Daphnia pulex: one gene and its partner. The protein of the gene in region 1 purifies or fractionates together with the protein of each later gene. This does not show direct contact. Links are inferred from orthologs where the notes say so. Each region holds a gene or a part of one and is shown on either strand. Other genes may lie near its edges. The genes, in order: protein SGT1 homolog and E3 ubiquitin-protein ligase NRDP1-like.

Evidence for each region.
Region 2: the proteins of protein SGT1 homolog (region 1) and E3 ubiquitin-protein ligase NRDP1-like purify together in Homo sapiens (affinity purification with mass spectrometry; 3 studies listed by BioGRID and IntAct, with this or other methods). This does not show direct contact. The link is inferred for Daphnia pulex from reciprocal best matches to the Homo sapiens genes SUGT1 and RNF41.

What each region holds. Positions count from the first base shown.
Region 1 is NC_060023.1:192,860-208,170, reverse strand, and holds protein SGT1 homolog, read right to left. Parts: upstream 6,630-15,311; 5' UTR 6,503-6,629; coding exon 6,471-6,502; intron 6,406-6,470; coding exon 6,357-6,405; intron 6,293-6,356; coding exon 6,061-6,292; intron 6,006-6,060; coding exon 5,821-6,005; intron 5,761-5,820; coding exon 5,254-5,760; 3' UTR 5,097-5,253; downstream 1-5,096. Other genes in the region: ataxin-3-like, read right to left, coding at 41-64; TIP41-like protein, read left to right, coding at 554-870, 941-1,163, 1,225-1,383, 1,447-1,533; dynein axonemal heavy chain 10-like, read right to left, coding at 1,605-2,552, 2,611-3,300, 3,357-3,672, 3,728-3,960, 4,016-4,375, 4,438-4,617, 4,681-4,774, 4,838-4,905; brachyurin-like, read left to right, coding at 7,231-7,282, 7,341-7,700, 7,766-7,861, 7,929-8,095, 8,156-8,488, 8,556-8,648; brachyurin-like, read left to right, coding at 9,670-9,850, 9,912-10,095, 10,161-10,336, 10,404-10,499, 10,566-10,723, 10,791-11,074, 11,141-11,228, 11,296-11,400; chymotrypsin BI-like, read left to right, coding at 13,735-13,879, 13,949-14,308, 14,372-14,467, 14,531-14,688, 14,752-15,134, 15,200-15,287. UniProt on the Homo sapiens protein: May play a role in ubiquitination and subsequent proteasomal degradation of target proteins.
Region 2 is NC_060021.1:11,009,966-11,025,476, forward strand, and holds E3 ubiquitin-protein ligase NRDP1-like, read left to right. Parts: upstream 1-6,907; 5' UTR 6,908-6,959; coding exon 6,960-7,049; intron 7,050-7,139; coding exon 7,140-7,282; intron 7,283-7,352; coding exon 7,353-7,509; intron 7,510-7,575; coding exon 7,576-7,863; intron 7,864-7,922; coding exon 7,923-8,198; 3' UTR 8,199-8,629; downstream 8,630-15,511. Other genes in the region: uncharacterized protein LOC124194673, read right to left, coding at 10,570-12,927. UniProt on the Homo sapiens protein: Acts as E3 ubiquitin-protein ligase and regulates the degradation of target proteins. Polyubiquitinates MYD88. Negatively regulates MYD88-dependent production of pro-inflammatory cytokines.

The DNA of each region.
Region 1 (15,311 bases):
TTAAAAGGCAATGAACCATACCATAAAAGAATAGCAATACCTTTTCGTGAAAAATAATATCCATATTTTCAAAACACCGAAATAATATCGCTGATTCCGGCTGTCAAACTTTTTATCAAGAAAAATTAGTCAGTAGGATTTCACAACAAAACGTTGCCATTCGTTTATTATTCATTCGTCAGTTCTCAGTTGCCACATTTTTAATCAAGTAAACTAAACGATTTAAAAAAAATAAAAGACAGTTAGTGTTTTTAATTACAAAAATTTGAAATTACTGTTATTTTATTTCAATTCTCACATTACTTTTTTATTTAATATCAATAATTAACTATTTTTCTAGAATCGTCTGCTAGTCCATAGGTTTTCTTTTCATCACGCACACCTGGTCCCCTATTCAAACGAGTTATCTGCTGACTTCCGCCGGGTTATTAGGATTAAAATTGAAAAAAGACAACTGTAAAAATTGTTATCCAACAGCCCCATTTTCTTTCTTGCCAAAATATATACAGTAGTGTTTTGATTTAGGTAGATTTTAACTCGATAGAAATAAGGTATGAGCAGGAACGTTGTTTCCACTCCGGCTGCTACGGAAGAGAGCTTTGACTTTCTACCATGGACTATACAAACAGTTAAAAGCCACATTCTTCCTTCCAAGTCAACTGGAAACTCACCCAGTAAAGATCGCCATGCTGCTTTTCATGATCTATCAATCCCCCATTTGCCTGACATGGTGTTTCCCGATAATGTTTTAAGAATTCAGCTCTCCAACGGCTCTGGAATCGAATTCAATGCCTTGGATGCCTTGAAGTTAGTAAATGACAAGGAAGATCTAGTCAAGGTTGCGATAGCAGAAGCTTGGAAAGAATCCAGGTAACGATCATTTCTAAAAATTACCATAATGTGCTTGCTTTATTCATGCCATCTTTAATTCTTAAATCAGAGCAGACATGAATGTATCACACAAAGTAAGCCATCCATTTGACTGGACCTTTACAACAGACTATCGGGGGACTGTCCTTGGAGATTTGAAAGTCAGTGCAACCGACTTGAGGATTGACATGGAGAAACTGAAACAAAAGGAAGCCATTCTCTTCTTTGATGAAATTCATTTATACGAGGATGAGCTCGCCGATCACGGTTGCGCCTCTTTCTCCATCAAAGTGGTATGAATCTGCATTTTTTATTCACATTCTTTGTAAAGTTGATATCAAATGTTGTCACTAGAGAGCCATGCCAAGCGGATTCTTTGTTTTATTGCGTTTCTACCTGCGCGTCGATGACGTCCTTATCCGCATCAACGACACCCGACTCTATTACGAGAAAGATAATCAATACATTCTGCGTGAATACACATCAAAAGAGAGCAAGGCTAAGGACCTCAAGGTATGACAGTATTACAAAATTGATTACAACGTACAAAAATGTCTAAACAATTCAATTCGACAGGTCCCTCGCGTCTTCTGGGGTGATCCCAACGAAATTTCTCAACACTTGTCGCTCTCTCATTCACTCTACGAAAAACTGGAATTTTAGAACACACATACAAAAGCATTCACGACTAATAGCACGTTTACTTATTGTCGAAAAAACGATTCGCTCTCACATTACATTGCATCTTTTCCCTTTTTTTTCTTGCTGGGATTGAATTGAACTGCTTTCAATTTAGCGTGAACTCGACGCATTTTGTGGACGCCCTTGAATTTTGCCTTGTTCTCCTCGGGCACGACGACGTTGTAGTGATACAATCGGTGCCAACTTTCTTGCACTTCCATCATTAGGATTTCGCAGTCGATTTCCGTGCTGCCGTCCACCTGCAAGTGTCTAACTTTAATCAGCTCTTCGACTTTTTCCAGTTTTTCTTTCGTAGCAGCCAACCAGGTGGCCCCCAATTGGCGGATCCATTCCCTGATGTGTTCCGTCGCCGCCATTTTCAATTGTTTCATCTGCAGAGTGACGCAAGATGTGACCACCTGGGCCTCCATTGCACCAACCCTTTCGCTCCAGTAGTTTCGGTAATGTTGCATTTGCTCGTCGTATTGGGACAATGTGGGCGAGGTGCCTCTCAACTTTTCACAGGCTCCCATCTTGTTGACACTCCACAATTCCGCGCAATCTTTCCACCTGTCGATGATGCCCCTTAGTTTTCCCACTAGGTGTTTGCAGTGATCCTGGTCCCGCTGGAGTGTCACTTTGAGCAACGGCTCACGACTCAGCCGGTCGTAAAGTGATCGTTGGTCCACCGGCAAGGCGTTGCACGATCCTTCCTGCCATTCAGGCACCAAGGAACTGCGTTCGATCCAGTGATGGGAGATGTTGGATATGTCGCGTTCGATGGATTCCAAGTCCGGCTCGACCACCACTTTAGCATCTCGGAGGGATAATTGAATGACAAACTGGGCGGGTCCCTTCTCAAGTAAATTGGACAGCGCCTCAAACAATCTAGTTTGAACTGCTTTCAAAATTACCACGTAAATCTTCTCTCGCCAATAGTCGTAATAGTTTTGCAATTCAGGAGCCGATCCTGTTTGCGAATTGCACACGATACTCTCCACCTAGAAGCGATTGAATTACGTCAATGTAAAATTTTATTGGTACGTCATTTTTTTTTACCTGGAGAAGAATGGGTGGCAATTCGGAGACGATCCGCCTCACGTTGAGGAAGAATTCGTCTCCCGATTGACTCAACTTTTTGAAAAACTGGTCAGCAGAGGGCGGGCCACTACCGGTGACTGGGTTGAGGTCGTGCTGAGACTCGACCAACAGTTGGAAATCGTTAATCTGGGCGATTCGTTTGTCCAAAACAGAAGAGATGAGGGCCACATCTTCCGCCATTCCCTGAAATTTCTCGACACTCTCCATCAGCTCCTGGATGTAACTGGCCAGGCAAAGGGAAGGCCAGGTGACGTGAGTCGTTCCTAAATTCAATCCGTCCTCCACCGAAGAGTAGCAGCTGGTGAGGACAACAAATTCGAACGGGGTAAGTTTCTCGACCACCGAGGTCAAACGTTCCAGGATGGCCACGATGGCTCGATTGTGATGGATCAAATCCGGTTTTTGCATCAGTAAAATGTGGCAGACGTGCGGAACTTGGAATCTCGTCTGTAAAAACAATCGAGTTTCGTCCCAAATGGTTTGCAAAGTGTCTTGAAGTGTCGTCACATATCCTTTGGCTGTCTTTTTCAGGATGGGCTGAGCCATGGCTTTGTTGGCCCGTTTCTGCACAGTTGTAAACCATTTGTTGTGCAATTTATCCTCTGTCGACTTCAAATATTTGGCCAATTCAATGTACTGCTCTTTGATCTGTTAAAGAAGTTTAAGTGTAATTTTGGCATTGAATTAAGTGCACCCCTCGTTACTTTGGTTGATGCGGCCGTTTCGTCCCAATCATTTGGATGAGGAAAAATGGTGAGCAAAGCTATTTTGACTCGATGGTAGAGTAAACGACGTTCAAACAGTCGCTGGGCCATGTCAACATTCTCGGCTTCCTTCTCGTTCAAGTAATCCGTCATGTCGAATCCTCTGCGGATGAGGCGGATCTCGGTCGACAATCGACTCAGTTGCTCTCGTTGATTTTGTTCCAGGAATTCGTCCAAAGATCCCGAATGCGTTCCAGCCAGTGAATGAGACTTGTCGATGATTTTCCGTAGCAGTTTCAATCCCTCGAACGAAGTGCTAATTAAAAAAGGTATTATGTTTTATTAATCAAATGAAAATGTTGTAATTTTACTGAGCATCTAGGACGTGTTTTATGGTGGATTTGATTTCCGCTTCAGTCAATTTCTGAGCCGCTTGGTGACTTTTAACAAATTCCTGGAATTCTTCGTGATTGTCAACCAAAAAGAGCCGGATTTCCAGTTTGGAAATCCTTTTTTCCAATTTGTCTCGAATTGTGGCCATCAGCCGCTGACGGGCAAAGTAGTCGTCGATCTGTTCCGACATCTCCCTCAAAGCTTTTGTCTCCTACAACATTCTAGAGGTAAAAAGAAAATTCTATTCAGTTTAATTTTATTAATACCTTGATCAGAGACTGGACTGTTGAGATGCTATCCAGGACTGTACGAGTGGCCAGAAACATGGCGTTAAATTCCGGGCCGGTTAGTTTGCCGACCACTTCCAGTTTGGATTCTGCCCATTGAATTTCCCACACCTTGAGGGCGTTGACGACCAATTCCACTTCCGGTTTGAGTAGATTAGTCGGTTGCAGGACGTGCAGCATCCATCGGGCAAGAATGTGAGTGTTGTTGGCCACCAATTCGGAAAACTTTGAGTGAATCCCTGATTTTGCACTGGGTTGCAGTATGACAGCCTTTAACGCACTGGCCAGGGATTTGACGTAAAGATCAATCCTTTCTATCGATCTGTTTTCTGAAAAAACCTTTTTAAAAAAATTATTTTTTAATTAGGATTCAGAGAAAATTTCATGGATGAAATATTCACTTGAATTGGATCTCTGACTAGCCGGAAGAGTTTGAGAGTGTAGTGGACTTGGCGTAAGGATGATTCCGTCTCTATCGTCACTTCTCCCCAATTTTGCACCATCCATTGTTGCTGATGGCTGAGATCAATCAGTTGTTTCTGCCAGAAGACGGACTCGTCCCTCAGTGTTGGAAAATTTGTCTTTTCATTCAAAAATCAATTTAAAATTTACATTTTTTAAAATTTAAGGATTGTAATCAATACCGGATAGCCTTTACTTGAGGTCTTTGGCTTAATGGGATTTTCAACTTTGGTGAGATCGCGATCTTCAATCAGCAGTAAAAATTGAACTAATATTCTAATGTTGATACATTAAAAATTTTACTTTCTTTAATGTTTAGTGAAATGAAAACTTGTATACTCTTGAAAATCAGTCAGTGTGTCGAGCCATTCCCGATTTTTTTCGTTACGCGCTAAATGCTCCATCATTGGAAGATAAACCTGATTAACCAATCGATTAAATTGGTGGTAAGTTAAATTTAATTTGAGGTTGAATTAAACCTTTTGTAATAATAAAGCTAGTCCTTTGATATCAAGTTTAGAAAGCTCCATGGTGTAAATAAAACTAGTTTGAAACGGTTACCGTGGCAACTAGTTATCGATTTCTGGACAAAACAAAATTGTGGCGCAAAAAGAACGATTTATTTTCAAAAAAGAACCCGAGATGAGGACAAAATCCAGGAGGCAAATTAGAAGCAAGTTATTTTTCTGTGTTTAACAAAAAACGGCCCATTTAAATGTATAGGACGGTAAAATTATTTTTCAATGGCAGGTAGTTCATTTCTCGTCCCACTTTTTGAACTCGACTCCATCAGGCGGTTTGACTGTAACTTTCTCTTTGGCTACTTCGTCCCAGTTTGTGCTGAGTACAGTTCCACCGGATTCTTGAAACGACTTGTTCATGGCTCGGCGGATTTCATCCGATCCTTCGCCATAAATCTTTTGAAACAGATGATTGAGAGCAGCTTCCCCTTCAGGTGTCTCTTCTTCTTCTTCCTTCTTGATATCCGACTCAATCTTGTCCCAATTAATCTTTTTGGCAGATGATGATGGGTAGACCGGTGGCTGTTCAGAAGATAATGCAGCAGCTACAGGAATCTGCTTGACATTGTCCTGCAATTGGCCCTCGAGTGAACTCCACCGTATACCATCGCATTTCTTCATTTTGATCTCGACTTTGGTTTTCATGACTGAGAAGAAGCTTTGGTCAGGCACGATTGGGTAAGACAAATTCAAATTGAGCTCGTAATCCGTTTCATCCGGTAGTTTTGCTTTCATCGCCATCTATGAAACACACATTTTAGTGACAATAACTTGTGACATTTTTTTTAGATAAAAACTTACTGTTGATGCAGCAAAATCTACTTTGACAGCATCAGGGTTGAGATTCTTGGCGAGAACAGTAACACAAACATGACTTTCTGTTTGGTACCAATCATGCTTGATGACCAAAGGAATCTTTCTAGATTTGGCAAGTTTTTCTTCTGTCCAAGTAATCCATTGTCTGACACCATCTGATGGATGTTTTCCTAGAATGAAAAGCTGCTGCACTGAGTATTCATGAAAAATGTTGAAATTAGTTACCTCCATGTTTGTAGCTTTCCTGGAACGCTTCAAGTGCCTCTTCAAACTGTTGCAGATGGAAGCAAGCTATTCCTTTCCTCAAGTGAGCTTTAGAGTCGCTAGGATCCAGTTCTGTGGCTTTTTGAGCATCACTTTTGGATTCAGCAAAACGATCAAGTTTCAGCAGAGCATGAGCCCGATTTGTATAATATTCAGGTAAATCATCTACAATCTTAATAGCTTCATTGTACAACTAGAATTAAAAGAGAAGTGGTTAGTTTAGTGCTACCTAAAACTAAACTAGTCAAGCAAATCACCTCTACTGCTTCCTCATAATTTTCATTGACAAAAGCTGCATTGGCCTTACTGTAAAAGAAAAGTAAAGTCAGTCAGTGTTTCCATGTCAACAGCTTAATGTGATAACGAATTACCAAACCAACTCTGATGGAGTATCACAAGACATTTTTGCCTCACTCAAAGAGACCTGTCGAAAGACTCGGCAAACAAACGACTGAACTGAACAACACGTAAATTTTTCTAGAATTTCCGAGAAATGCTTTTTCCATTGCGGCGTCGTCTGGTAGCCAAGTGCTGCTAAACAGCAACTTTTAGATAATTTTTAGATAATTTCTGCTCAAATTTAAATTTCACATGCTTTGTTTTTAACAAATTAGGAAATTTTACGAAGGAAACTAGTTACCAAATGAATATTCAGTTGAATATGTTTACTCAATTTTGTGTCGTGAAAAATTCTTCAAAATTTTAAAACGTAATCTTAATGTTGACGGGTCGTAAAAATTAAGACTCTGATCCGTCGTCGACAAACAAAATTATCTTTCCACCGTGACATTCAAGTTTTATCAGATTCCAGCTTAAAATAAAAATGAGTCGATGTTTGCGCTCGGTATTCTAACAAATAAAACCACCATATTTTCTTCAAGATTCCAACATGTCCAACGTTTGTTCGTTTGCCGCCTGAAAAATACGAAATCCAATTTTTTAAAACAAATTACAAAAGAATGTTAGATTGCGCCAATAAATCATGCACAAGCCTGCAGTCCTAAGGCAATCGGAACTCTGCCCAAAATCTCTCAGGGTATTTAAAGTCTGTCGTCGGAACCCAGTAGCAATTAGTTGCCAAATTACACAGCGGTCGGAACGAACAATTACAAGATTCCCAAATAATAGAAAATGAGGGTCATTTTTAGTTTGTTGTCCATTTTCATGTTATTCGTCAACGGAAGTAAGCATTTCCTGTTTAAATTAATTGATTACATTGTAATTTCACTTGAGATTTACAGGCGGAGCTGTTGAGTGCGGAATTGCCAATCGACCAATCAGCAGAATAGTTGGTGGTATGGAGACGAAACCCAATGAATTCCCCTGGATGGTTTATTTGAGGGTTCAGTTTTGGAGCGGCGATTCCGCACAATGCGGTGGAACTCTTATCAGCGACCGATGGATCCTTACGGCCGCTCATTGCCTTTACGGAGTTGTTGACGTCACCGCCATACTGGGAGCGCATGACGTAACCAATTCCAACAGTTTACCAAGACAAGAATTCAGTACCAAGAAATGGAATATCCATCCACTTTGGTCTTACGGACAAGTGGAAAATGACATTGCCCTTGTTCAGTTGCCGGAAGCGGCCGTAATGTCCGGTATTCAAATGTCTAGAAAACCTTTAAAAAATAAAATGAATAATATTTGTTATCTCTTAAAATAGATTACGCTCGACCGGCCTGTTTGCCTTATTCGGATGACCCAAATTTCGTTGATTTTGATGTAACCATCACCGGATGGGGAAATTATTCCAGTTCCGGTAAATTTTTGAAATTTTAGTTGATTCGATTGCTAATTTAAACAAAAATTTATTTCTGCATAATTAGTTGACAGCGGAACGAGCCCAGTTTTGCGGAGTGTCCGTTCTTCCATCATCGATTCTTCCGGAATGACCGGAATTTGTCAGCAGAAAGCCTCCGGCGAAGTAGTGGGTCCTTTTCACGGCGACAAAATCATTTGCAGTGATTCGAGTTACAATCGACACTTTTGTCACGTATGAATTCTTATCGCAGAACAAATTCATTTATCAATTATGGACCTTGTTACATTTCAGGGCGATGATGGGGGACCGATGAATCTTTACAATTCCTATTGGAACACATATACGGTAGTGGGTGTGGCCTGGATTGGTGACACGAGTGTCGAATGTTCAATTTCCACGAAACCGAACATTTGCGCGCGTGTCAGTTACTTTATCGATTGGATTCACGACACGACGGGCATCCCCCGAATTCCCAGACCAACCACAACCACCACAACAACAACGCCTGCACCAACCACTGGCTACTTTACCTGTGAAGGAAAACCTAGCGGAATCTACCCGAATCCGGCCTGCGACTGTTGCACTACTTTTTACAAATGTTCCAACGGCTACGCTTATCTTTACGTAATTCCTTTAAAATTCATTTCCAAAGATTCATTCGTTGACTAGCTAATAATTGAAACATATCCAGGACTGTCCTGATGCTGGAACGGTATTTGATCCCGAAATATTGGTCTGCGTCTACCCGGAAAATTTTCCGGCCTGCGGAGGTTTAGCGCGTTGAAAAAGCTAGTTCCAATTCATTTTAACGTTTAGGAATAAGCAGCCGAAATAATTAGAAATGATCACATGATCATTTGCAATGAGACATGTTCACTTAACAATTAATTGAAATACAAATCGATTCTCTGGTTATATCTTCAGAGTGAATAATAAAAAATTCTCTGTAATATTTGATCATTAACCGAATTGTGTATCAAGGCCTTTGCACTTATATAAAATAAGGACATGACATAAGAACAGTCGAAAACTGAACTGAATCTTTGGTATCAGCATTTGAATATCCTATGTAGCACCGGAATATTATTCGTTCAATTAGATCGTAGGAGACACGCCTTTTTTTTAAATTGAAAATGCCTTAATCTTGATTTACGATCCTGATTAAGAAATAGATGACGCATTTTACCTGTCGCGTAAATAACAATGCATTATCGTTGGCATTCGTGTACAGTCAGTTTTATACTGCCGTAATTGAATGAAATTCATCGCAGCTTTATGTGCCATCAATGGATTAGGAAACGAAAGGTTTTTTACAATAACGATATGAATATTCATTCGGACTTGAAGCAATAAAAAAAAAGGACTAAATAAGTGGAACGATTGACGTCATAACGGACCAATTGTTTGACTTGTTTCGCCTTTTGAAAAAAATTAAATTCCCCTACGTTATCCAATAAATTACAAAGTGCATGTCGTATCTATCGAGGACCCTGTTGTGGGATCGAAAATCTATTTTTATGCAACTTGTATTGTCCCTATGACGCACATGGTAATAAGCCTCTGCAATTCTAACACAACAAATTCTAATTTCTTCAAGAAGATTAACACTGGTATTATAAATTGCTGTCACATCTTAGACTTTCGTCTAATCTTTTTCAAATAGGAAAGTTATTTGTAATTTACCTTGAACGATTATCGGTAAAATGACATGGCAAATGGCTATCCAGCCCCGCCCAAAATAAGGTATAAAAAGCGGACAGCAAACCCATCAAAATCCAACACAAACACCAAATTTGCTGGCTGCCATGGCGTACTCGTTTAGTCATCAGAAATGGACGGTGATGGCATTATTCCTTATTGGATTTTTGTCTTTTGGTTGGGCTGCCATTCTGTCCCGGGAGACTCAACAGCCTTGCATAGCCAATGGCAAGTTGAAATCCTTCGCTCTGGATCAGAATGCTGATTTTATCCCACTAGCCAATCAAGGTATTTCACCTATTTATTATTTCAAATAGTTAATAATTTTTCATTGAATGTTTCAAATTAGATTTCAAATGCGGAGTGGCCAATAGTGCAGTGTCAAGGATCGTCGGTGGGGAAGTGTCGGAACCGAACGAATATCCCTGGACGGTTTTTCTGAATCTTTACTTTTGGAGTGGAGATAGAGCTACTTGCACTGGGACTTTAATCGGATCCAAATGGATCCTAACGGCTGCCCATTGCACCTTCGGGTAACTTTAACCAGCTTTAACAATAGTTTATGCAATGTAGAATTTGAATCGTGAATTTCTTCAAGGGTTGTCAACATTTCGGTGGTTTTGGGGTCGCACGATACGTCTGCTGGGAACGAACCTCATCGTCAAACTGTTGTCGTTCCTGCTCAGAATATTAAAACTTATCCCGGTTATTATTACGGCAAAACGGAAGACGATATGGCGTTGTTGGAACTGCCCCAGGAAATCAACTATTCCAGTAATAATTGACTTAATGAATTATGAATTCAATTCAATCAAATAGCTCAATTTAAAAATATGCGCAGAATATATCTTACCGGCCTGTCTTCCGTATTCGGATGATTCCGACCAAGTTGGAGATCCCGTGACTCTTGCCGGATGGGGAAACTATTCCAGTACCCGTACGTATATTTTTAATTTATTTTTATTCGAATCAAATTGTTAATTAATTTTGATTTTGGATACAGCGGACTCGGGTTTGAGTCCTGAATTACGCAAGGTTCAAACGTCAGTTATTTCTTCATCCGGTGACAACGGCCAATGCCAACAACTGTGGGGCAACGGGCCCTTTTCCGGTGACAAAGTCATTTGCGGCGATGGATCCACCGGAAATCGTTTTTGCTATGTAATTTATCCTAAAGTTTAAATGAAAACGTTCGTAATTTTCCTGATTTTTTCTCTATTTACAAAAGGGAGATGATGGTGGGCCGATGAATTATTTCAACAACTTGACGGAATCGTACACGGTCGTAGGAGTGGCCTCGCTAGGTGACGCTACAGTCAACTGTCAAAGTTCCCGATTGCCTAATATTTACGGTCGAGTCCGGTACTACCTGGACTGGATCTACAACAACACTGATATCGCTCCTACTCCAAAACCGACAACCACAACGACAACCACCACAACAACTACAACCACAACGACGACCACAACAACAACCACAACGACAGAAGATCCGACCGTCTTTAGTTGCAGGTAAATAAAACAAAGAAAAGCCATTACTTTTTTCAGTGTGATGTAATAATAATTTGATTAATTTAGAAACAAACCGGACGGTATCTACGCCAATCCATTCGATGATTGTTCAATCATCTTCTACATGTGCTCCAATAGTAACAAATACGAATACGTAATTACATAAATTAAAGATAGCAACAAATAGTTTGGTATTAATTGCTGATTTCACTAAATTGCAGACTTGCCCAGATGCTGGAACTGTTTTCAATTCGCAAATTTGTGCATGCGATTTCCCATACAACGTACCGGCGTGTGGAGTCTCATCTTCGGATCCGGCCCAATAATTCTTCTGAAAATTTCCTCGGATCAAATTTATTTCAATTTCTATTGCTATTGTATTGCAAAATAATCTTACTGAAATTATACAAAATTGAAAATTCCCATATCGTTTCTTGTTTTTATCTTTTTATTTTTCAAATCTTTTATTTGCAATTTGCTTAGCGTTACTCATTTGTTTTCCATCGTATTCCATTTATTCTCTCTCCGACCTTCCGAGGGTTTTTAAAATGGCTCCCTTGAGGTTCGATCATAACAAAATATTTGTTAAAAAAGAACCCGATTATTGTTACAGTTTTAAAATCCTCCTGTTTGTTTAATGTGTTTAGTGATCTAATTAATGCAGATAAGTGTGGAGATGAGTCAGATGAACAGTTATATTTTCTTTTGTGTTGCTGAATCATGTAAGAGATAACCTATGCCTTGCTCAGTCTGGTTTACATTATCTGTTTTGCAATTTAATAACCTTTTCAATTTTTTTATCTCTGCTTTTTTAAAATAAAGTCTTTGCATTTGTTTGTTTACAGTAATTGTGGCTATATGTCAATAATGCCTTCAACAAGTGTGGGGGGATACAGCATTCGATAATTTTCTCATTGCATATCATAGGTTCATTTTGCCTATGTTCAATTATATGGCATTATTGAATTGATTATGATCTGATTCCTCGTGACTTTGCTGCCTGCTACAATAGACAATCCAGCGAATTTGTTCCTTGAAAATCCAATCCCTTGTTCCATGTGTTTATAAATTATACAACACATTTTTTTTATTTCAATGCCAGCATTCACCATTCCTAGTTGTTTTATTTTATTTTATTTTATTTGTTAGATCATTCGTGGCTCCTAACAAGTTCTTCTGGCAGACGGCATTTTTGCGGACTTCCTTTTGGAGTGGAGATTTGGCAGGTGATACATTTATCGACGGCTGCTCGATCTTTGACTGACAAAGTGGGACGATTGACGTCATAACAACCCCCCACTGTTTGACTAGTTGCGCTATTTGAACAAAAAAATGATAAAAATCCCCGCTATAATCAAATAAATTACAAAGTGCGTGTTGTATCAATCAAGGATCGTGATTGGGTACAACAAATGACAAGACGAATGACGGAAGATCCGACCGTCGTTAGTTGCACGTAAGTTTTAAAAAACAAACACACTCCCTTTTTCAGTCTTATGTTATAATAATTTGTTTAATAAAGAAACAAACCGGACGGTATCTACTACGCCAATGATGATTGTTCAACCATTTTCCTACTTGTGCTCCAATTACAACAAATACGAAAGCGTAATCACATTGAAATTGTAAAAATATTTTGGTACTTATAGAGCTGACTTACACTTATCAACTATTGCAGACTTGTCCAGATGCTGGAACTGTTTTCTATTCGCAACTTCAAATTTGTAATTCGCGTAACGTTACTCTTTTGTTTTTCCTATAAACACCTCTCACCCTCCCCCTGCTCCTACTCCCCCACTCCCCCCCAATGTTCTGTAATGTACCCCTCGTGGTCGTTAGAATTTTGTTTGCATTAATAGATTTGGATAGTTTAAGTTTTCAAATCCCTTAGCAGATCCATCGTAATCACTAATAAGGTATATAGTAACACCAACCGTGTGTATGATGTTTTTAAATGAACCATTAATGTCTGCAGATTAGTATGAGATGATGCAGCCAGCATGCAGGTGAACTTTTAGTTCCTCTTGTCCTGATAAATCATAAAGGTAATACTTTTCAATCAGATTTACATAAATCAGTCTTTTGTAATTTGTTATCTGTATTTTTTATACAAGTCATTGCTTACACGGTGCTCTTTACAAGTGTTATGAGGTAATACCTAGCGAGACTGAGAACACAGGGATTTAATTGTCAGTTTGATAACATTTGCTTAATTCCATGCCTTTGATAGAAATGCAGGTTCAACCCACACTGTCGGTGAGATATTATCTTGAAAGGCAAATGAATCTCGAAAGTAAGATTTTCCAACACAATCTTTATACACAATTTGATAGATTTATTGATGGCTCACCACCAGCACGATGGTGTAGACCCAATGATCCAGCAATGCCTGCCATCCAAATAACTATTCTGTGTAGAGTAGTGCTCAGCAATGAGTGACGAAATATGAATTCCGTGCGTTCCTAAATGAGGTCACCAAACCGTTTTCTTAATTCATCGGCACGCAATAAGTCTTAAGTCTTAACTGCATATTCAACAACGATAAGAACGGTAATTTCCATTTCTTCATCTGCCTCTCTGCATATATAAAGTGAGCATTTCAAGCACACTAGAACCACTCGATACTTTTTACTAACGTTGGATCATTTTCTCTAGGTAAAATGAAGGTGATCTTTGCATCCATTGTCGTCTTATTCTTCGTGACGAATTTGCTTCCTGCCACAGTTGGACAACCTGGCGATGTTGTTCCTTGCAAAACCGACCCTTTGTCCGCCCGAGGAGTAATTTGGCACCAAGAACCAAAAGGTTAATCAAACCCTTAATTTCAATATTTACCAATTTTCATTTTGATAATTTTGTTTCTTGATTTCACAGCTACCATTCAGTGCGGTGTTGCTAATCAATTGAACTCGCGGATCGTCGCTGGATCGGTCGTGGCTCCCAACGAGTTCCCTTGGATGGCCTTTTTGCGCATTTACTTTTGGAGCGGAGATTCGGCACAATGCGGTGGAACAGTCATCGACGGCCGCTGGATCCTGACGGCAGCTCATTGCACTTTTGGCGCTGTCAACATTTCCGTCAGCCTAGGAGCTCACGACATCACCTCCACCAGCAACGATAACTTCCGGCAAGAGTTCTCTACTCGCAAGTGGATCACTCATCCGTCTTGGAGGTATGGCGATGTGGAGAACGACATTGCGCTCATCGAACTGCCCTACGCTGCTTCTTTGTCCAGTAAGACTTGATTAACCATTATCAATTTGCATCGAATTTTATAAATTAATTGTTCTCCCTCAGATTACGTCCGTCCGGCTTGTCTTCCATATGCGGATGATTCCAATCAATTTGGCAATCCCGTCACGCTCATCGGATGGGGAAACTACTCCAGCACTTGTATGTGGATTACTTTTTAATTACAACAGTTGAAAGATATTTAATTGATTGATTGATTTACAGCCAATACCGGATTCAGTGCCTACCTGCGGAAAACCTTGACGACTGTCATCTCGTCGGACGGCACCAACGGTCAATGCCAACAACAGTCTGGAGTGGGGTCTTTTTCTGGTGATAAAATCATTTGCGGAGATGGATCTCAAGGCCGTCGGTTTTGCTATGTAATTTATTTTTGATACTTTTTGCCACATTTTTTGTTGTAAAACTAATTGTAATTTGCAAAGGGTGATGATGGTGGACCGATGAATTTGTACGACTCGTATTGGGGAACATATTCGGTTGTTGGAGTTGCATGGATGGGCGACAGCAGCGACAATTGCCAGGATTCACGACTGCCCAACATCTACACTCGAGTCAGTTATTACGTCGACTGGATTTACAACAATACAGATATTGTTCCCGTCCCCAAACCTGTTACCACGACGACCACAACGACGACGACTACCACCACAACAACCACAACAAGGCCCCCTACCACCACCCCAACAACTACCCGATCAACCACCACTACCCCGACCACAACTACCCCGACGACGACTAAAGCAACTACTACAGTCACTGATGCACCCACTCCTAGTACTAGTTATCCATCAGAGTTTGATTGCAAGTAAGTGGTTTTGTGACATTAATTTAATACGATACGGTTAACACATTTAAAAATGCATGAAATAGAGGGAAACCAAATGGAGTGTATCCAAACCCATGGAACGATTGCTCCAGAACATTTTTCTATTGCTCCAACGGTTACTCTTATGAATACGTGAGTCTTCGAATATTGTTTTCT
Region 2 (15,511 bases), on another chromosome or scaffold:
CCCGAGTGTGGTGATGGGATCCATGAGTCGTCCCTTGTCCTTCGAGTAGAGGTGTCATCAGGCGTCTCGTAGTAGGTTGGAGCAGGAGTATGAGCAGGTGTAGTCCTCACAGTATCCAAAGAGGCACAGTTAGTTGCCCCAGCCAGGGCACCATTCCTGCTGGCCTGTTTAGCAGCCGCACGGGCAATGACAGAAGGGTAGCAGCGGTTGGAGCAAAACTTCTTCTTGTCGTTGTGGCAGATGAAGGTATTTCTGCAGGCACTGTTGCCACAGGCTTTCTCCATGTCGACGGAAAGACGGATGGCCAGAGGCTGCCCCGATTCAGTGAAGTAGAGTCGGAGTAGAAGAGTCGGTGTAGTAGAGTCGGTGTAGTAGAGTCGGTGAAGAAGAGTCGGTGTAGTAGGATCGGTGTAGTAGAGCCGGTCAGTTGACGCGGGCCAACGAGCCGGACAAACTGACGGATGAAAAAACCAGCTGACACTGGCCGGAAGGCGGACAAGCTGGCGGAAAATTAATCAGCTGACGCGGGCCAACGAGCCGGACAAACTGAGCGGAGGTGAAGAGTCAGCTGACGGGCAATGAAGCCGGACAAACTGTGATGCTGGAACAACTGGAACGTAGAAACAGCAGACGGAAACAGATGACGGGCTGAATAGCTGGACACTGACACTGGACACTTGGACACTGGACACTGTGACAGCTGACTGGAAGGGCGTTGACGAAAGACGACGGAGTGAAACAGGATTTTGCGGACGGTCCGGCGGAACCGACCAACGCAATCGGGCGGGAGATAAAAGGAGAAATCACGGACGATCTGGCGAGATCGACCAATGAGTTCAAACAAACGGGGGGAATATCCACGGACGATCTGACGAGATCGACCAATGAACTCTCGTCTCACGACACACAGCAATTATTATATTGAACAGGACAAACGGACGATCAAGAAAGAAATATAATAATTGTAAATGTTGCTTTCTTCGGGTTGAAGATCTGGACGACTGCGACGTAAACTGCCAGCTGGCCAGTTTCTTCGTGGTTATTTTGTACGTCGAATGAATATTTGCTGAACTACTGAATAATTTTCTCCCTGCCACATTTCACCCAGAAGCCAATCGCAGATCTCAACAGACGAAATTCCCAGGTGATGATGGACGCCAGTCTAACTTCTACTTCACTTCCAATGTCGTCCAAATTCGCCAATGTCGCAGTAGTAGGAGGGGTGGTGTAGTTTGGTCGGTGTAGTAGCTCTGGTGTAGTATGATCGGTGAGTCAGTGGGAGTTATCCCGCTAGGTGTTGGTCTGGTCACTGAGAGAAAAGGCGGCTCCGCCGGCTTGATTAAATGAGAAGAGGAACTGTATAAAACTTGACTTGCCCAATCACTCGTGCCGAAGCAATTAGGCGAGTGCCGAGTGAGCCTAGTGAGCAATTCGTCCAATTGGTTGATCAGTAACTTCCAATTCCCATATGCCAATATGGTTTCTCAATATGGAGTAGCCGTTCAAGGAACGGTGGCTACTGCCATCTAGTGGCGTTGTTGGCGTGCTGGATAGCAGCCATCTGGCGGAGAAGAGAGATGACTCGAGCCGTAGCGTGGTGCGTAGGGACGAGATTAGCATGGAATGGCAAAATAAAGTATATACAGCAAAGTGGACAAAACTGAGTTCAGATTGAAGAGCACTGCAAGTTTAATGTTGGTGGTGGATTACACAGCACAGAAATCAAGTTTTTCCACTCTAAAAATTCAATCCAGGAGGAGCACCTCTTACACACGTCCGATCGGTTCGACAGCAGACGAACTGATCGTCTGTATAAAACTTGAATTTACTTATGAATTCATCGATAATTTTCATGGAAAAAAAGGAAAACTTTTGACAACCACTCAACACAACAATCCGCCATCACATGAAAACGACGACGCCTATGTCATCTATTGGACAACTCTGACACTCCAAGTCCCAACAATCAAAAACGAAATTTTAGTTGTGTGAGACACAGCATTAAATTTTTGAATCCTAGTGAAATTGTAGATCTTAATAAAAACAGAAATATTACATATTTAGGTACCGATAATGTTTTACCGCACTGGTTATCGAGCTGCAGTTCTGTATGTGCCATGTATAAACTCAAAGCAATTCAGTTCTTTAGCTACTTGTATAACTTGAACAACGCACTTGTATTTGCTTTATTAAACCTAGCTTGAAATCTTGAGATTAGTACAGAGAACAAAGCTCATTTGCTAGTTTTATGCAAATTTTCCGGAAGTATACCGGAAGTAAGCGATAGTGCCTCTACCATTGAGCTGTCGTCAAAATAAACCAAATATTCGTGATCTACGTGAAATTTGGGGTCGATTAGATGTAATTTAAACGAAATCCAGATTTTGGCCAAAATCGAGAATTTTCCTGAACTATAGTTCAGGAAAATTTTCAAAACCGGAAGTACGAAAACGTACAAAAGAAAACATGAACTTTACCACAAATTCGACGAGGATCACGAATATGTGGTTATTTTGTGCGTCGAATGAATATTTACTGAACTACTGACTGAAATGGGAAAACCGGAAGTAGAAAAAAAAACATATTATTAAAAATCTAGCAAGTGAGCTTTGTTGCTGAAACAAAAACTGACAGTTATCACCCAAAATTTTTTTGAAGTAGCATTGAGAAATATCTACAGAGATGTTTAAAGTTGACGTAACTAAACTGATTCTGACAGGTAAAAATGATCAAAGGCTATGCTGTCTAGTGTCAGAAAGAAGAAACGTTTTAAAGTAACATGAAATGTCCGCTGTAACTCGGTGACACTCAATTGAAAAGAACTGACAAACAAAGGTAACAAATAACTTTGATACTCACGTAATATTCTCCATGAAAAATTTCATCGAAAAGCCACACGCAGCATCACACATCAAAAAAGACGAAATCCCCAAGGTGATATTGAACGCCACTTCAACTTCTACACTGAGGAGAAGGCAATCAAGACAGATATCCGTTCATGTTGTCTGCAAGTGATTCCAGACGTTTCAGCACCTGGGCAACAGTGCTGGAGAATAGATTGCTGAAAGTGATAACACCCAGTGTTGGTAAGGTAGACCTGCCAGTTATTCAGAATGTGTTCCTATTCATTGTAGCATTCTATTAGGCTACATACTACAAGGCAACAGCAAATGTAAAGTCAATCATAAACGATGGTGGAGGTGAAAAATCCTTTCCACACAACCCAATCTGACAGAGACTGGGCATATAATTAAATGAATATCACATGTACCATTAGAAAATTTAGGTGCATAACAGCCTAAGTTAGCTTTAAACTTGAGTTTATAGGTTACAACCAACTCAAGCATCTTGTTAGAACAGCAGTTTTAGAAATGAAATAATCAAATAAGCAGGCAGATTATACACACATAGTGATCATGTTGTATTATGCAATTGGAAAAGGAAACAGAATCAAACACAGATCATAAGTCTATCTATTGTTACTAATTTCTCCCATAATGACACTAATTTCCCAGTAACATTTTCGTCCATACTGCTGTATCGGAACTTTACAATAAACTTCGCTCCAAATCCAAAGACCTTCAAAACTGCGACAAACTGAATGACAAAAAAAAAGTTTTAGAATGATTTATAAAACATAAAGTAAATGTCTAAGCGTAGACATTCAGATTTTATACAGCCAATATTAATGGTTTCATTAAGGTCAAACGGTAACTCGTTTTCATCAGACTGGTAACAATTTAAAGTGATATGAACTCAAATTACCTTGTGCAAGTTTCATAGCTCCATACCATCCCACAGACGTTAAGCAACGGATCGAAAATTAACACACCTAAAATATGGAATAACGTTAGGAGAAAACTAATCTCTTTACACCAACATGTCTATCTACTATCAGGGACTCGAGTGGGTCTTCATAGTTATCAGAAACACAGGAAACATTTGTCATCACAAAATTTACAATGAAGGTTTGACATCAATCTCTCTATTACCTCAGGACTCCTTAAGCCGACACTATTAGATCCAGCGTCTCACCGCATATATCCCTATTAAAGAAAATCAAATGATAATATTGAAATTTATCCGGTTGCCCAACCCCTTGCTTTAAGAAAACAAAGCAAGAAAGGCCTCAGGGACTCGCTTTAATGTTGCAAACTGAACAAAAAGAAATCTGGTGTTCAGCAATTTCTTTACAAAATATCATTTGCCCAAGATCGCAATAATCGAACCATTCTTACCTCGACAACAGGGATTTATCAAGAAAACGTATATAAACAAAATCTCCAACAATCCAATAGACCGTAGTCAGACCTAGATATACCAAATTATTAAATTAGATAAGAAAAATTTAACCAACAAACAACACAACATACCCAATAACATGCTCGCCAAGTACTCCAAGACAACCGACCGAGCAACCTAAAAAGACGACAAAATAAAATCATCGTTAAGGTGCAGAAAGCAGTAGCTCAAATGCAGATTAAGATAAATAATCTATCAGGGACTCGAGTGAGTCTTCATATAATTGTCAGAAACACAGGAAACAATTGTTCATCATGATATTTACGTTTAATTCGTTAACATATTGAGCTATTACCTAATATCCTATGAAGATGGCGCCAAAAAAAAAAAACACCGAACAATAAACCAGTCCATCTGAACACACAAAAAACACAAGTTATTTTCATGAATTTGTCCGGTTGCCCAACCCCTTGCTTAAAAAAAAAACAAAGCAAGAAAGGCCTCAGGGACTCGCTTTAATGTTGCAAACAGGACAATAAGAAACCTGGCGTACAATTGTCTCCTTAAACAAACCTGTTTGCCGAGTCTCGCATTAAAAAAAATTTACCTTGTGTAAAATGAACTCCTCGGATTCCAATGACGTTGACCAAGAAGCAATACCACATTACCTACAGAAAAAAATAAATCTATAACATCAGTTTGTATCGCTGATATCGTCAACTCAGTTAAAGATCAAAAGGAAGGCAGAATGAATCATCATGGAACTCGGAAAATGCTTTTAAGCGTTCTCATCATTTCAATTTACGTTAAACATTACAAGTAATTCTCTCTACTCACTACGTAGATCATGAAATCACCAGCATCTCGAAACGAAAGAAAATGAAACTCCAGTTTTTGGCCCAGTAGCTCAACAATCGACGGCGGTTGTTAAACAAGACAATCTGAATAAACGAACCAAACAAATCGTCAATATTTGTTTACAGCCGATTAAATGATATTAAAAAGCCTGAATTATCAGGGACTCGAGTGGGTCTTCATGGTTGTCAGAAACACAGGAAACTGTTGTTCATCACAAAAATCCAAAAGAAACCATTAAAACTGTCCATTTACCTAAGAATCGCAAACACCTTCATGATTGTATCTCATCTAGTGTAATGCACACCCACTGCCTGCAAAAAAATAAAAATAAACACCATTAAAATGTTAAATCTTCCTGTAAAGTCAAAACAAATTGTCTCAAACCGAGGTGATCAACCTCTGCAATAAATACAGATCGAGCATAAGTGGTTAGACGTTTAATTTATGAGATCCTCTAGCACCGGAATACTACATGTGCGTTAAACCGGTGACTCTGAGGCTCAAATGCAAATGTAAAAATAACTATACCTCCTCCATTGGCTCCATAGCCGTAACAGTCGACATCCATCCTCCACGAAATGTCTTGGCATGGAATCTTCTCTGTAAAAACGATATAACGTTAAGGCGAGGACTAGACCAAAATGACGACAAGTCACTCGATACTTTCAGCACATTTAGTAATCAGGGTACATATTTAGGTGTCCTAAGAGTGTCATCAGCAAAATCCAACAGCATATTTTACATATATGATAAGAAAACCAACCTTTATTCCTCGATTACATTCAAATCAGCGAATTCTGGAAGATAGGTTACAACCAACCGGTGCAAAACCAAGTGAGGTCAGAAATCAATCTAGACATAATTGATCATGAAAATCTACAAACCATTTCAGTGTGATACTGCTTTGGTCTACACTTCAGAATATTGCGATAGAGATTTAATCAAAATATTAATTTAGGTACACTAAATTTCATTGTAATCCTAGGGTCATCAGGACTATTTACCCATATACAATAGGAATTCGTTTTTACCTTCCAAACTAGTCGTCTTCAAGGCACCAATGTAGCCTAAATGCATGATTTGTCTCACAGCCCTTCAAAAATTGTTTCCGATCCTTGCACTCATCTGCCATCATCCCTCCTGGCATTGAAGATATCAACCTAAAATGAACAGATTAAGAGATATAATCAAACCTGTTCCTACATGAGGCAAATTAACAACTTAAATTGACAAGTTAGTTACTAGACAAGAGGAAATTTCATTCGCCTCATGACCGTTACTGCAACATTGATTTCAGACTGAACATGGAATTTCACTTAAAACTACTTATTATCAAACTTGTCCATTTTAACCAAAGAAACCCCAGACCAACCTGAGGCTTCTTTCTCTATAATATACTTCTTAGAGAAAGTCGGTTTTATTAGACTTCAACCTTACCAAAGCAATACACATATAGATATTAAAAATGTTCAGGCTAATTACTGTGTTAAGAGCGTTAACCATATCCTACAACTACGTTTTCAAAACTTAAATGAGAAACTAAAAAATTAGAAAACCCAGAATAACCACGTGTTGATCAACTTACATGTTCAGCATTTGAAGGATTGGTTTGAAATGAAAAGAAGTGACGTTGGCACTTCCATATGTAAACTTCGTTCCCTAACCGTCAGACTGCGTTTTACGGTTTAATTTTTCTACCGCCCGATGGCTCTGCAACACCTTGTTGTTGCATTTATTTAGGTACGTCAATTCTGTTCCCCCTTTATTAAAAAAGAAAGAAACGCGAACTCTTACTGAGAAGCAGGTGTGTTTACTTAATTAGGTCAAAGTTTTCTTGGCCGTTTTGTTAACCAAGAAAAATGGGAATTGAAATAAATCGATTTCAAGGAGAAGTTGATGAAGAATTGTTGTGTCCAATTTGTAGTTCAGTGCTCGAAAATCCGTTACAGGTAATAATGACAGTTCGCTTCCAAAAGCGAGAGTAGCAATAAAATTTCCCCAGAGGGAATGTGATGGATTTAATAGACTTGTAATTTCAGGCACCCAACTGTGAGCATGCATTTTGCTCTGCTTGCATTCACGAGTGGCTCTCGAGACAGCCAACTTGTCCTGTCGACAGACAAAACATAACCCCTCCTCAGCTGAGACCTGTTCCCAGAATACTTCGGAACCTACTATACAGGTTGGTGGTTTGGAAGTTTGAAACCTTATTATCAGTATGAAATTGTACCATTTCTCTATTATTTTTCTAGACTACAGCTCACTTGTGATAACTCTGTTTATGGGTGCACTGCAATATTGAAACTAGATGCCCTGGAGTCTCATGTACAAGAATGTGAGTTCAATCCAAAGAGACCGGTGCCATGTGAGCTCGGCTGTGGGCTAGTTGTGCCAAAAGACGAGTTGAAAGTAAGTGGGTTGTTTTACAGGTTACAACTTTAAATAGTACCTTATTTATGTTGATTGCATTTCCAGGAACACAACTGCGTGCGAGAGCTGCGCTCGTTGATGCAGGCCCAGCAATCGAAACTAGTTGAGGTGCAGGCGGAAGTAGCCGAGGGCAAATTTCAGATGAGCGAACAGAAACGAGAACTGCAGCTGCTGAAGGACTACATGCTAGCCATGCGGAACGCCAATCCTTCGCTGCGGATTCTGGCAGATCAGATGGAAGCCGACGAAGTGAGACGCTGGGCCGAAACTCTACCCAAGGCGAGAGTCCTGCGCTGGGGTGGCATGATCTCGACTCCGGACACGGTGCTACAGGTAATATCCTACAGTTGGCGAGCTCAATACATTCAATCAAATACGATAACCTTTTAAAGTTGCAGGCAATGATCAAGAGAGCCCTTTCCGAATCGGGTTGCCCACCGCACATCATCCAGGATCTGATGGAAAACGCCCACGAACGGCGGTGGCCGACGGGATTGTCGTCGTTGGAAATCCGCCAGCTGAACCGGCGTCAATACGAGAACTATGTCTGCCGGAGGATTCCGGGCAAACAAGCCGTGGCCGTCATGGCCTGCGACAACGGACATATGAATCCAGATATGATATTGGAACCGGGTCTCATCATGATTTTTGCTCACGGTGTAGAGTGACACCCCGGAATTCTTGTCAGATTATTAATCCAACAACATGTTTGTCTTCAGTGTCCTCGCGACCGGCTGGACCACTCCAGCGAGCTGACACTAATGAATTTGTCCCTTTTGTCCTTTAGTTCAGAAGCAGCAGTCCTCTCAACTTACTTAAAAGAATCTGATTTATCTTTTTTCGAATTGTTTATCGTCATCAGTTACTTTCATTGAATCGTGCTCAGTTTGGGGGCTAGGTGTAGGTTTTTATTTGAAATGTTTCTCAATTGGTGTCCCCGCTCTTCGGCGGTTGTAAATGTTCGATACTTGATTAATGATGGCAAAAATCTTGTTTTCTTTCATCATCAACTTTTATGTGCAAATAATGATAGTATATTCCGCCGATGCTGCGGAATAATAAATAATAAAACAATAACTGAGAAGTCAATCGTATGGTATAGACAGTGTGTGTTTGTGTGTATTTTTTTTTTATCTTTTCGTCGATTATTTTTCTGTTATTATCTTTTTCAAACCGGGTTTACTTCTTCTCTCTTTTCAGTTATAATCACATCATCGTCACACATGTTATGTAACATTTTTGTTTTTTTCAAAGTGTGGAAATGGGTTGAGGGTTGGGGGTGGATTTTTTGGAGATGTAATCGCACTACATCACATAGCCATGCTCATCCGAGTATTTAATCACATCACTCAAAAACACTTCCTCTTTTTTAATGAAGTTGATTTTCTTTCTTTTTCGAAACTTTGTTTTCGTCTCCATTCGAATGGCGGAGGGGAAGGATCGGCGGGTAGTGAAACAACATGATACGGGAAGCTAAAGAGATGATTTCAAAACAAGTTATTCACAATTAAGGACAAAATCGATGAGCCAGAGAGAGATAGAGAGAGAGAGAGAGACGTAATAATAAAGTGGTTGGATCGAAATCAAACGTCAAAGAAAAACTACATTGTGTTTGTTGTGTCTGTGCGAACATGTATATACAATTCTTGTACTGAGCTTCTGGAATCTGAAACACACACACACGCATGGAAAATAAAAGACAAATGATTGGCTTTTGTTTCGACGTAATAGAATCGATAATATAATATATAAAATCTTCTGTATATCTATTTAGAGAGAGAGAGAGAGAAAATAAAAGATGGGGGGTGAATCAAACGGCAATTAAAGTTTGTAAGGGGGGTGAGCGAGTTTCAGAATGAAGGGAAAAAATGGGGGGTAACCGACGATCCCGAATCTGCTGACAATCGGATCTGATCTGTGAGGTCCGTTCGGTTTTGAACAAAAAAAAAAGAAAATCAAATAATCAAAAAAAGCCCACACTGCGCAACTGCAGCACACATTTGTTTGTTCTTCTCCTTGTCGCTTTAACCTCAATAATTCTTCGTCTCAAATTGGGCGGGGTCGGGAGAGGAAAGAAGCGCAGCAAGACGTCGTCGTCGCTCCATAATGACGGCCAGTGAGCTCAATCTCGCTCGCGCGAGCACGAACACGAGAGAGAGAGGGAGAGAAAGATAATGTGGGTAATCACGACACGACTTGTCCACAGACCCGCGCAACCAGCACACACGCTGGGAGGACAACAAAAACCAAAAGAAACGGGTTGAGGAGCAGGAGAAATGGTTGTTGTTGTTGTCGTCGGCTCTGTGGTGACAATTTTTGAACACAGTCTCAGGTAATTTATACATAGCATGATACAATCAGTCGATGGGACTCTTTTTTTTTTGTCTTTTTTTTCAATACATCCAACTCGCTAATTAGAGGTGGAAAATCAAAATACGTGTGGTGTGTGTGTACTCACTGCGTGAGTCTGTGCGGAGTGGAAACGAGGGAAGAAGGTCAAATAATCGAAATGGCGACATAATAAGACACGACCAGCGGATGGTGAGAGCAACAACAGTGGAGGTTATAAATGGAAAGACGAAGTCACACACACACACACAGAGAGAGATACTCAGGTCATCGAGTCAACGAATTGGAATGGAGCAAATTGGGAGAGTTGGTTGCTGTTGTCGATGGAGAAAACGGAAGCTCCACCGCAAGAAATTGCGGATGAATGCGCTTTCCTATTCAATCCTCCATTCGGAAGAGAATTAGGAAAACCAAATATGAAATCTTTTTCACGGAACAACAACATCATCGCCATCTTTCTTGCCTTTGTTTAGACACACAACCGCAATGTGAATTGGGAATTTAGCCATACGCAATCCATTCCGGATTCCCCCCACCCTCTCTATTGGTGGGAGGGGCCAAAAAGAAACGAGTAGAACAAACGAGATGTGTAGCAAAGACACACACATAAATAATAATTAAAAAAAAACACCCAATCAATGACAGATTATTAAAAACGGGGGGGGGATGTCATTCCGGAATTTTTCTTTTTTATCCGGAATCTTTGCACCGTGGATCGGAGACATGGCCCAAGTCCAAGTCTTCGCTGCGGGTGTGCGTCCTGAGGTGCCTGGTAATCATGTCGCGTCGGCAGGCGGCGTAGGAGCACTGCGGGCAGCGGTAGGGCTTCTCGCCCGTGTGCGTCCGCTGGTGGGTGCTGAGGTGATCGGAGCGTGAAAACACCTGGCCGCAGATGCGGCAAGTGTACGGCTTGAGACCCGTGTGCAGCCGCATGTGGCGAGTCAACATGTCGCTGCGGGCAAACGGCCGCTGACACACTTCGCACTGGTAGCCCTTGACGACCACGCCGGAATCGGCCGAGGGGACGGGTCCAGCTGCTGCTGCTGCTGCAGCCGACGATGAAATGGTTGGGGTCGTGGCGCCACTGGTGGTGCCACCGTTGAGCAGGGCTGAAGTCCTTTGCAGTTGGACGGGCAACTTGTGCCGCGACGTCAAATGTTTGACCAGCCGGTCGTGCTGGTCGAAAATCTGGCCGCAAATCTCACAGCCGAAGGCGGCCGGATGGGGGCCGCCCGGAAGCAAAAGCGGAGCGGCCATAGAGATGGGCGAAATGGCCTCGCTGTCGGCCGACAAGTCGACGGACGAGGAGGAATATTCGACGGCCGAGAGGTACTGCGACAGCGACAGGCTGCGCGTCAGAGCTTTGAGTCGCGACCCGCGCGATTTGCCCACACGCGAAGACGTCGCCGTCAGATGCGACGGATGCGACGGAGGCGGCGTCTCCAGTCCGCCGCACAGCGGAGAGGAGAAGGCCGACAACAACTCGGACGACGACACAGAGGCCGTGCTCGTGTTGGTGCTGTTGGTCTGGTTGGGGCTGTCGGAGCTGACGCTGCTGCCAGAGCGGACAGACAAGTCGACGGGAGACTCTTGCTGGCCAAAGAGCGGCGACCAGCTGTCGGTCGAGTCGGACGAGTTGCGCTTGAGCGACACCATCAGCGGCGGCGGCCGCAAGTGTTCCAGTCGGCTCAGCCGCTGGTGGTGGCCGTGACCAGCACTGCCACCACCGCTGCTGCTGCCGCTGCTGCCGTTGAGCGACTGGGACGCCGCGGCGGACATGGCCGGCGTCAGGACCCAGGAGGCCGGAGCGGCCAGAGGTGTTGTCGTCGTTGTTGTCGCCTGGTGATTCGACGAGGATTCGACTTGACCGCCGGCCATCAGTCGCTCCGAAACGGAATCGCTGCACAAATCCGAGTCGGACCTGGCCCGTCTACGATTCGACGGCTCCACCACGTCGAGGAGGAAGGAGCCGCCAGAGACGGGAGCTGCCGGGCGCATGGGTTGGCCCGTCAGGCTGCTGATGTAATGATGAAACGGCGAGCTGGAGGCGTGAGGCGGAGTGATGGCCTGATGAAGATGATGATGAAGCTGGTGGTGCTGGTGCGGATGATGATAATGAGCGACTCCTCTCTCCTTGACTCCTCCGCTGGTGGACAAGTTGAGGGGCGTGGCCGCGTCCGGCACGGTGAGCGATCGGCTGCGAGTGAACGCGGTGGCCGACGGGTCCGTCTGGTCGTTGGCCGGCGGTTCGGCGGCAAAGCTCAGCGGACTGAAGGAGATGCCGCTGGGCGAGTCGACGAAGGTGGCGCTGCCCTGACTGCACGGGCTGAGTTGACTCAGCCGGTCAGAGTAGGACGAGGTGAGACCCAATCCGGGACTAAACACTTCCTCCTCGCCTTCCTCGTCGCTCTGCGTCATGCTGGCGCTGCGCTGGGCCGAGCAGACGGCCGCCGCCACGACGGCCGGCATGACGTGGTCGAAACTGAACACTTGGCCGCCACTGTGCTGGTGCGGATGCAGGTGGTGGACGTGCTGGATGTGTCGCAAATTGCCCCGCATCCGCAATCGAGACATGGACATCAAAGTCTGTTGCTGCTGCGGCGACGGAGACTCGCCACTCCCCACCGACGACTCCATGCTGACCGACACGGGTTCCTCTTCTTCTTCTTCTTCTTCTTCCTCCTCTTCTTCTTCTTCTTCGTATTCTTCTTCTTCTTCTTCCTCGGAGAGACTGACGCAAATGCGTCCGCGTTGATCGATGCCTTCGATTATCTCCGGCTCACTATTGTTGTTGTTGTTGTTGTTGTTTTTGTTGTTGTTGCGGAGACTACTATGATTACTACTACTGCGGATGTTGTTGTTGTTGCGGTTCTTGTTCCTGGCGACGGGACCGCCACAACCGACACTGGAATGAGCGCTATTAGTGATCCTACCAATGGGAGCACTGCCGACCAAGTGGGCGATTCTGCCGACCAGCTGATCCAATCGTTGGCGTTTGCGCTGCGTCGTCGACCTTGCTGGCCCAACGACTGACGTGGTCGAGATCATTCTTGTTTGGGATTCTGCTGGCTGGACAAGACCTAACGGCTACTCCAACGACGGCCAGCACCAACGTGGCCGTGACACTACAACTCACAACTCGGGTGGACGGGCGATGATGATGCTGGGCAACTGGGCGAACCAATCCAACTGCACTGAGCCACTTTGTGTTTGAGACAGCAGCAGCAGCAGCAGTCCTGCAGCGTCCAGGGAGACCACTGGTTGGCCCACCAAGAGTCTTCCTGCAATATCGGGGAGAGAAAAAAATAGTAAAGACATGAGTGACATTGAATTCTCAACAGGGATCTTTCCACATCCCTCACTCTCTCTCCACGCTTCATGTCACTGTTCATCCCCCCTTCACTTGTCTGTTTGCCACATTAGCTACAAATAATGAGCTCTTGTACGAGTGGACAGTAACCAGTACGCAGACACACACCCACACACAGACATACACAGTGTGTGTGTGTGTGTGTGATGGACAAGGCGAATTCAACTAGACCGTGGCAAAACGAAAAAGAGAAAACTGCTCGACGTCTTAATTCCCCGTCTAAACATGTACAGTCGACGCACGCTAGTAGTTTCTTCGATCTTCTTCCACTTCTACTGCTCAGTGAATAAGTTGTCTGCTGTGGCTGGATACTTAGCCCAACTCATTAACTAGGGCTGGATGAATCTAACCTGATTACGTTGGTCTAATTCCCGCAGGCAAAGCCTTTGGTCTCTCGGCCGTCTAGAGAGGCACATGATTTCCTTGAGTCAATTCTTTATTAAAATCACGCGGTGACACAGAAGCCGACGAATTCGAACTGTCAAAGTTGTGCCAAACGAAAAAGAAAAAAAAAGTTGGTGCGGCGTTGCCACACGATTGCACCAAAGCGACAAACGCAGTCGCTAGCAAAAAGAAAAATCATTTTCAAAAAGAAAAAGAAAAAATAAACGCAATAAAAAAAAAAGCAGAAAAATAAAATAAAATAATTAAAAAAATAGTCTTAAATAAAAAGGTGTACACATAGTCTGCACACGTATGTTTCGGGCGGGAGTGTCTCCCGCTATTGATTGCCATACACCAGTATTGATTTCCAGGCGTACATATATATATATATATATAAAGCGTATATAGGCCTCTCGGTCTACTACTACTAGTCTATCTATCTCGGCGTCTTCTACATATTTCACCGGATGGCAGACTCTTAAATATGTGAAGGAGAAGCAGAAAAAAAAGTTTACTCTCACTCACTCACTCACTGCCTTCTTGTGTATAGCTTACAAATAATAAATAGAGAGGGAGCCAGGAGCCAGTCAGAGTTTTTCCTTTTCTTTTTTCCCGAACGGAGGGAAAATGTCCCATCCAGTCGATGGAAGAAAAAAGAAAAGTAGAAGCTCATCACGCAGAGACTATTTTTTTATTTTCTATTTTTTTTCTTATCTCAAAGAAGAAAAAGAAGAAAATGATAGAGGGGATGAAGAAGACTGTGATCTGCGTCAGCAGCAACACACTAACGGGTGAAGCCGAACGTGAGGGAGAAACTCACGAAAAGAAATAGACACACACAACATTCTTGAAGATCAAGGACACACGGAGCAACGGGGTAGAGAGAGTCCTGGCAACACGAACCCTCCCAAAAAGAAAGAAAGAACAAGTCAAAAGAAAAACACGGAGATGATCACAACAACAACGTCGTCCGTCGTTCTCCCGCGTTACTTTTTCTTCTTTTTCCCCATCATCAAATTCGGGATCGAATTTTCTTTGACGACGGACAGACATAGTGTCGTTAGCGGGGCGCCGTGAATGTGAGACCGCGATGCGGTCAATCATCCATCTTTACCGTGTCTATCAAGAAAAAAGGCCCCTCCCACCACCAGGGCGTGACGCAATGGCCAGGTGTCAAAATGGGCCACCAACGTGTCAAGAGGACGACTCTTTTTTTCTTCCGCCATCTCCCAATTGAAAAAATTGAAAAGAATCAAGTGACAAGTCGAAAACTTACATCCTGGCTGACATTGCAGTGCACCGTCTCGAGGAGCTGCCAACCCCACAGCCCGTGATTATACAACTCTTTGATGGCAAATGGCAAATGGGGGTTGAAACAACAACAACCACAACACTCAAACAACAATGTTGTGTGGTGGTGGTGGTGGGGAGTTGATAGTGTCTGACTGGTCCACACAAACACACACAAAACAACACGACAAAATCGTTTGATTCGCTCACGATCAAAAATATAAGACCAAGGAGATCGAGTGTGTGCGGGAGTCACTGGAAACGCCGAAGCGCACTCAACGACGTCCCGATGGCACCTGCCTAGAAATACGGCGACTACACCGAAGCTATAGGGACGGACTGACGGACGGGAGTGGCGGTTGGGGGGGGGGAGCACCTTCATCACGACGCCGACGCCATGCAGCATCGCCAACCCCCCCCTTTTCCAACCTTTCCACGTCCAATCTCTCAAACTCCTACTTTTTTCGTTTTCTTCTTTTTTCTTATTTGGCTGTTTTTCCGTGTTATATACCAACGGTTTTCTCTATCCCGCCCCCCCCCCTTCTTTTTTTTGGCCCGAGAGGTGGAAAAGAACCGTAAGTGGGGTTG